2 linked regions of the Canis lupus familiaris genome follow. The protein of the gene in region 1 interacts with the protein of each later gene in a pairwise test. Links are inferred from orthologs where the notes say so. Each region holds a gene or a part of one and is shown on either strand. Other genes may lie near its edges.

Region 1 (4,291 bases):
GCTTTTAGTGACAGTATAATAAATCCAGAGATCGGTGGTCTGTCTTTTCACATGTGGTGGTCTGTCTTTTCACATGTGTTGTTTTACTCCAGTTTTCTTTGTCAGCTGTGGAAATCCAAAGCAAAGCACTTAACCACTCAGAGCCACAGGTATAACAATAACTACCTTGAGAGGTTGCTGTGAACATCAGCCTTACCGCACAGGAAAGTCTCATTGTCTCCTTCCTCTCACAGTGGGAGGTGAGAAGTATCTCCAGCACCCTAATGTGTGCAGTCCTGGAACTAGGGATCCAAGTTACCCTGCCACCTCTAGTGCCAGACCAGGGTGGAAGAGCTGGGGGATGGGGTGATGGGAGAACACAGCAAATGCTGCTGGCAGGTCTTAAGGCCCAGTTCAGGCTTAGCCAGGATCAGGTGACATCAAGACTGGAGCATGACTGGGACTAGGATGCAGAGCTCTGAAGGACAAGTGGGAGAAAATTGAAAAATGGGCCTGTTGTACTGCCTTGGTGAGGCTGGCTCGCCTGACCAAGCTGCAGGCGCCCTGCCGCAGCTACCGCACCTTGGGAGCTCCGTGAGGAAGGGCCTGGCTCTCTGAGTGCATCGCAGTAGGTCTTAGGAGACAGTTGTTTTCTTTGCCCTCCTCTTCATACTCCTCAACTTCTTCCAAAACAGACTTAGCAAGCCTCCCAGGGAAGCCCTCAGGACTGGCAGGTAGAGCACTTTCTGGTTTTCAGTTAGTCCTATTTTAGTTTATGTCTTTCAGTTCTTTAAGAACTGAAAATCCCGGTTAGTGATGTTACTAACAATAGGCTTTTAAAAGTAGAAAGTCTTATTATAAAAGCATCCTGTGTTTATTACAGACTAATTGTAGAAAATAAGAGAATACATGAAGACTGTCACCACCCTGGCAGGTGTCCCACCCAGCCTGCTATTCTGAGCCACACGTACAGGGAGGCACATTTTGTGTCGGTTGCTTTCCTTTTACATGACATGTGTGCTGCTTGAACATGCTTTCCCCTTCAACGGCAAATTAGCATTTGAGGATTTTGCAAAACTCTTCTCTGAGAAGAATGCACACCTGTGTGGAATTGAGTGAGACTTTGTCTTTCAGGATACACTCAGCTCTGTGACTGGTGGAGTGTTGGTGTGATTCTCTTCGAGATGCTGGTGGGACAGCCACCCTTTCTGGCCCCTACCCCCACGGAAACCCAACTGAAGGTAGGTACTAACCAGCCCATGCATCTGCTCGCTGCAAACACACTTGGTTTTCTGATGAACCCATGAGTCTCTGGTCAGCATTTGACCTTTAATTCTGAGTAGTGGAAGAGTGTCAGTTGTATGTTTTTAAATCATTATTATTACCTGTATAAAAAGTTTTATTTTAATAAGTAAAGCCACCAAGTTAGACCTGTGTTTTGATATCTATGTATATCTGAAGTTTTACTTGAACCATTGGTCATCCGCCATCTTGAACTATGAACAGGGAGAAGCAGTAAAGGTGGGCCCTATGTCCATTCTCTGCTGCCACACGTGCCTACCTGCAAAAAATACTGAAAACTTTATGAACTGTACTTGAAGAAATCAATTACTTCTTTGGATATTATACTACATTATACACTATATCCATTATTGCTTGCAGATTATCAGCTATGTGATTGGGCTAGTTGCACATTTTTCTAATATTGATTGGAAGTAATCATTTAATAGTAAATAATTAGTTTTGGAGTTATAACCATTATTCTCTGAAATAAATGATTTGATTTCTTAGGAAGGACTGAATTGAGAATTTGATAAAATCTTTGGAACATCTTTGAACAGTGCACTTACCCACCAAAATATGTGTTCACTAAAAATTCTTGAAGTATTCATAAGTCCCAGAGTCCATGTTAGACCCTAAATTAATAATCCCTTATTTAGAAAAATCCTGAATGAAGGCTTAGTTTTCACTCTGGTAACAATAAAAATGAAATTTGACACTATTTCTATCCTAATTGAATTGCCATACCATTCACTAATTTGCTTGTATGATAACTCAATTTTTTATTGTGATAAAATTTACCAGTTTAAACATTTTTAATTTTACAGCTGAGTGGCTTTAAGTGCATTCACAGTGTTGTACGACTGTAACCATAACCTATCTTCGATAGTTTTATCATCCCAAACAGAAACTGGGCTCATCAACAATAGCTCCCCATTCCTCCCACCCCCAGACCTCTCTTTGACTTTTTTCTCTGTGAAGTTGCCTAGTCTAGGTATCCTGTAAAAGTGTAATACCGTATTTGTCCTTTCACCACTGGCTTATTTCACTTTAGCATGTCTTCGAGGTCCATCCATCTTGTAACGTGTCAGAATTTCCTTCCTTTTTAAGGCTGAAGAATATTCCAGTGTATGTGTATAGCACATATATTTATCAAGCATCTGGTGATGAACAATTGGGCTTTTTCTACCTTTTGGTGATTGCGAATAATGCTGCTGTGAACATGAGTACATATACAAGTATCTGTTTGAGTTCCTGCTTTTGTTTTTGGGGTTACATGCCCAGAAGTGGAATGGCCAGATCATATGGTCATTCTACATTTAACTTTTATTTTATTTATTTTTTTTTTACATTTAACTTTTTGAGGAACCACCAAACTGTTTGCCACAGTGGCTACATGATTTTACATTCCCATCATCAGTGCTTGAGGCTTCCAGTTTCTTCACATGCTCATCAACATTTACTTCATTTGTTGTTGTTGTTGTTTAATAGTAATCATCCTAGTGGGTGTGAGGTGGTATCTCATTGTGGATTTTTTTTTTTTTTTTTAAGATTTTTACTTATTTGTTCACGAGAGATACAGAGAGAGAGGCAGAGACATAGGCAGTGGGAGAAGCAGGCTCCCTGTGGGGAACCCGATGTGGGACTTGATCCCAGGACACTAGGATCATGATATTATATATTCTGGACAGTAATCCCTGATCAGATATATATGCTTTGCAAATATATTCTCCCTTTCTGGGGGTTACCTTTTCACTCTGTTAATAGTGTCCTTTGATGCACAAAAGTTTTAAATTTTGATGAAGTCCGTTTTGTGTATCTTTTGTTTTGTTGCCAGTGCTTTTTGGTACCATATACAAGAAATTTTGCCAAATCCAATGTCATGAATATTTGCCCCTATGTTTTCTTCTGTGGCTTTCACAGTTTTAGATCTACTAAAACAACTACTCAAGTTTGAACCAGCCCTCCCACCCATACCCCACCTGCCTCCATGCCTTACCAATGCCCTGTCACCCCAGCCTGTGGCCTGTTAGCTTGGCCTTGCTTTATCCTGATTCTAAGTATAAATAATAGAGAAGTCTCTTAGGTTTTCTTTTCATAGCAGATGCATTTCATAACAAATGTATTTACTGAACATCCCAATGGCTGCTCTGTGTGGTTGACTGTCATGAATATGAGGCCAGGGCCATTGGTTCAGTCACCTTTATTTTCCTCTGTGAGGTTGTCTTTTTTTTTTTTTTTTTTTTTTTTTTAATAAAACCTCAGTTGACCATCTGTTGGCCATAATAATCACAAAATTCTTTTGCTAAACTCTTTTTCTGATAGAAGAAAATCAGTCTCTTTTGGTCTCTATTTGGCTTCATCACCCCCTGCCTCAGGCTGTGAGCCCTTTACTAAACCACACTGGCCTTTCCTAGCTGCTCAGGTTTGCAACTGCTGCTCCTGGGTTTGTTCTAACTGTTGTCCCGTCATGAAAGTAAAATTATTTGAAAGCCATGTCACCACATACTGTCTCAGAACTGCCCTAAACTGGCCTTAAAATGTGAAAAGAAAGGAAAATTTGGGTTCTGTTGTCTCGTCAGGTGATAAACTGGGAGAACACGCTCCACATTCCAGTCCAGGTGAAGCTGAGCCCCGAGGCCCGGGACCTCATCACCAAACTGTGCTGTGCTGCCGACCACCGGCTAGGGAGGAATGGGGCCGATGACCTGAAGGCCCACCCATTCTTCGGGGCCATTGACTTCTCAAGTGACATCCGGAAGCAGCCGGCCCCGTATGTTCCCAAGATCAGCCACCCCATGGACACCTCAAATTTTGACCCCGTAGATGAAGAAAGCCCTTGGAATGATGCTAGTGAAGATAGCACGAAGGCCTGGGACACGCTCACCTCCCCAAATAATAAACACCCTGAGCACGCATTTTATGAATTCACTTTCCGAAGGTTCTTTGATGACAACGGCTATCCCTTTAGATGCCCAAAGCCTTCAGGAGCAGATGCTTCCCAGGCAGAGGACTCCGATTTGGAAAATTC
Region 2 (4,195 bases), on another chromosome or scaffold:
ATATTTACCATCTGGCCCTTCCCAGAAAACTGTTTCCCTGGTGGAGGAGGAGCAAGCGCTCCCTCTGAAATCAGAAGAAAAGTTCTACTACCATCCAAGTTGGCAGCCGTCAGTTGAGAAAAACAAAGGATTTGGACAAAACATACCATCTTCATTTGGTCACATCTTCAGACTCAATGACAGGGCTCAGAGTTCATTACCATGAGCATAAGTAGGGGTTAAACTGGGGCCTGCTCAGGTTGAATGAAGCAATGGATGGGAGAGAGATGGCTCAGAATGGCTCAGAAACGAGTCTTCCCAAAGTGTCCTCCCCATGATTCACGCTGCACCTCAATGGCTCACCAGGTCCCCGCCAGCTCTCTATCACATGATTCCAAGATAGAGTAAATCAGCCCAGCTAAATGGAGGCAGCAGCAAAGATGACCTTTTAGAGTCAGCCACCTGAAATGGAACCCTGCATTGATCAGTTACTACCTGTAAGTCTAGGCCAGTTATAAAGTCCTTGGTTTCCTCATCTGAGAAGAATAAGAAGTACTTCCTTAATGGGCTTGTTTGGGGGATTAAAGATACAGTTCAAATGTCGGTCCCCTTGTAGTCTTCCTTTGTCTCTTTCCCACAAACAGTTATTTGGAGAACAAACAGTAACTGTGCCATGTTAGGAAACTATCTTCCAAATTAGCCTAGAGTTTAAGATTTTTTATTTTTTTAGAGTCCTATAAAAAATACAGAATCTATCAGAGCAATAAAAATAGGCTCAGTATTTGCTTGGGTGTTTTCCTCACATATCTTTCAGTTCTTTGAAGTTTCTTCCAAACTATAATCCAAAAATAAGAGTGCTATAATTTTTAGAAAAGTTACATTTATGCAATTTTTATAGCAAGCCACACAAAAAACTGAGCTATAATATATCATACTCAGGTTCAGTTCTGAAGACCAAGACTGTAAAAAAAATACCAGCACCAGAAAGCCCTGGTTTATTTAGTCTGACTTCTTTAACATGAAGTTCTTCTGGTTCTTAAAAATATTCAGTTTTGGCTGAATTCCAAAGCTGACATAAGCCTACTTCAGGTGTTTTGAAGAGACTGAAGAGAATCAGAACTGAAAGCAAGTTTGGAATATAAAACCTTTTACGTGATCACAAATGCAAGAATCTTATTGTTTGAAACCACTGTTAAATTTTCCGCCCACACTTAGAAAAAATAAATACATGTATGTTCTCATATTTGGTTGTACAGGGTACTAAAGGTTAACTTCAATAGCATGTTAATATTATTCCCAACTTTAGCAAGCAAATAGCTAATTGCATCAATCACTAGAACTGCAATGACAGTTTCTGAAATATGTGATACTTGAAAAGATAACTTTTTTATGGATTACATTGGCACTCTATTTTTTTAATTTTACATTTTATTTATTCTTTTAAGATTTTATTTATTTATTCAGAGACACAGAGACAGGGAGAGGCAGAGACACAGGCAGAGGGAGAAGCAGGTTCCACGCAGAGAGCCTGACGTGGGACTCGATCCAGGGTCTCCAGGATCACGCCCCGGGCTGCAGGCGGCGCTAAACCGCTGCGCCACCGGGGCTGGTGGCACTCCCTTTAAACAAACTAATTTTTAGTTATTAAAATAGTAAATATTTTAAACAATGTTAAATTATGTACTTTCCAGCTCATTGTGGTATATGGGGTAATAATATTCTCCCACCAAAATCCTAACAAAGACACCACGAAAGTTTAGTTCAAGTGACAAGGTTACTGCTTTTGGAAGTAATTCCTTAGAAGTTCAAATCGGTTAAGACTAGAACATCCAAGCTACTAAATATGTTCGAGTGAAAGGACTTGGGAAGATCACGACACGACATGCAAATGCGTATAGATAGACTCTGAGAGCAGCGGGCTGCGTGGTTCCTGTTCTCCCAACACCACACAGAGAAAAAATGAAAGCGTCATCTAAAATAGTCACAGGTGTATATATAGAAGGGAGAAATGGGCCAAACCTAGCAAAAGAGAAACCAAGACCCCAAATGGACAAAGGCTGATGGGGCCACTATCTCGCACTACTTTAGAAGTGAAAAGTTCTTGAGGAGGGGCCTCCGGACCGGCTCCAGCGCGGGCCGGCGGGTGACCCAGTCGGTCTAGCACAAGTACACAGGATCTTGCACCCGCACCCACTCTTCCCCGGGGGCAGCGAGCGCCCGGAGCAGTCACGCAGCGCCGCTCGCTGCCCCTAAGGTGGGGCAAGAAGTGGGTAAGGAGGAAGCACGCCTGCCGCCTAGGAAAACCTTGCCCCGCTGCGGGCGGCCAGGGAGAACGTGGCCCCTGACCGTGGAGGACGCGGAAGGGGCTGCACACGCACCTGCGTTGTAAAAGCGGTCCAGCACCGTGGTTTCCCCGAAGTCCAGTTTGCCAAAATGCAGGGTCTCCAGGGTGGCGCCCACCGTCTCGCACGCCTCCCGCAGGCTCTGCAGGGCCTCGCTCTCGGCCACCACCAGCTGCCCCTGGCTCGCTTCGTTGATCACATAAGCCACCGTGGTCCGTCGGCCGCCTCCGCCACCAGAGCTGCCCCGGCACCGGGTGGCGCTGCTCGCAGAGGTGGCAGCCGGACAGCCGGCGCCCGGGGCGGCGGCACTCTCCACGTTCCAGAAGCTGCCCGGCGGCGGCGGTGGTAGTTGGCTCTCCGGGCCCTCGGCCGGCGCCGCCGCTCCTCCCCTCCGGCAGCTGCCGCCCTCGGCGAAGGGTGGCACGGAGAAAGTGATGCCCTCGCCCGCCTCGGCGCTCATCTCTCCCGGCCGGGCTGCGGCGGCGGCGGCGGCGGCGTCCCCCCCCAGCCCAGCCGCACCGTCTGGCCAGCCACAGCTCCGGGCTGCTCCGCGCGCGCCGGGCTAAGCAGCTGCCATCGCGCGTCGCGCCCTCCGCACCGCGCCGCCGCCTCCTCTCCGGCGCCCTCTCTCCCGGGGGCACGCCGCTACCCGGCGGCGGCTCGCCCCTCCTCGGCGCCTCCGTGGCCGCGCCGCTCGCCCGAGGCAGGGTGTAGAGTACGAGCGGTGGGGACGCCAGGGTGAGCGGGAAGGGACCGCGCTTCCTTCTGCTGCCGGCAGACAAGTCGGCTCGCGAGCCCGCGCCGCCGTGCAGCTCAAGGGCGCCGCGCTCGCCGTGCGGAGCGCCCTGGCCCCCCGGAGCGCGGCTCCCGCTCCTTGCGTGCCGGGCGCTGGGAGGGGCCGGGGAGGGCGCCCGCTGGGTGGGGAGCTACCTGGCCAGCACCTCTCGGGCGAGCAGGCTCCCCGGGCTGCGTCCCGGAACAGCAGCCGCCGCAGCCGAAAGGACCCGCCTCCCTCCTCGGCGGCAGCTCCCCTTCATGGGCTCTAGTTCCTCCTCCTCCCCTGGCCTCGTTTCTCGCCCGAGCGCGCCGCGGCCGCTGCGTCCCAGCGCCAGCCTCGCCGCTGGGTCTCGCCGCTCCCCGCAGCCGCTCGCCCAGGGGGCCACCGGCTTCTGCCGCCCACTCGTCGCGGCCCCGAGAGTCAGGGCCCGCCCCGGGGGAGGGCGCTGCTGGGAAGCTGGAGCCGGGACGAAACCGGCCGCGCCGCGGCTCCCGGACCTCGGCCAGGCCCCGGGCTCGGCGCGGGGCGGGAGTGCTCCGCCGTCACCCACCGGACCCCCACCTAAGAAGACCCGGAGTCGGCCAAAGCCTGGAGCGCGCGCGAAGGCAGCACGGCGCACGAAAAAGAAAAAAAAGAAAAAAAAAGTCTCTCCGGAGAACACTCGGGGCTCCGGAGCTATCGGGAGGCTCTCGCCCCGGTCCCCGCAGCCAGGGCGCCCCCGTCCGGCGCCTGGCGGCCTCGCCCTGCGCGCGGTCTGGTTCGGCGCGCGGCGCTCCAGCGCTGGGCTGCGCCGAGGGGCCTGCGTTGCGCAAGGCCGGAGGATTTCCTCTAGCGCCCCGCCGCGGGGGCCTATATTGGACGGCAACGGGCGATCGATTCCCGACCGTGGCTGGCACAACTTATCAGGTCGGCCTCCGCTACTTTCCATTAAAAAAAAAATTGCACTGGCAATGTTATCGTTAATGAGTAATTGACTAGGCCTAACTGCTGAACGACTGAAGCACTCTCATTTAGGTTCTTAAAAGGTACCCCCTCCCGCGCACGCGGTGTCCTATGCTTTCAGGAGACAGAATAAGGGATCTATACCCCACTCCGC

Evidence for each region. The genes of interacting proteins can lie anywhere in the genome.
Region 2: the proteins of LATS2 (region 1) and MAP3K5 come close enough for resonance energy transfer, tested with the Homo sapiens proteins (2 studies listed by BioGRID, with this or other methods). The link is inferred for Canis lupus familiaris from reciprocal best matches to the Homo sapiens genes LATS2 and MAP3K5.

What each region holds. Positions count from the first base shown.
Region 1 is NC_049246.1:17,242,278-17,246,568, forward strand, and holds part of LATS2 (serine/threonine-protein kinase LATS2), read left to right. Parts: intron 1-1,113; coding exon 1,114-1,220; intron 1,221-3,842; coding exon 3,843-4,291. UniProt on the Homo sapiens protein: Negative regulator of YAP1 in the Hippo signaling pathway that plays a pivotal role in organ size control and tumor suppression by restricting proliferation and promoting apoptosis.
Region 2 is NC_049222.1:29,533,573-29,537,767, forward strand, and holds the start of MAP3K5 (mitogen-activated protein kinase kinase kinase 5), read right to left. Parts: upstream 2,801-4,195; 5' UTR 2,782-2,800; coding exon 2,358-2,781; intron 1-2,357. UniProt on the Homo sapiens protein: Serine/threonine kinase which acts as an essential component of the MAP kinase signal transduction pathway. Plays an important role in the cascades of cellular responses evoked by changes in the environment.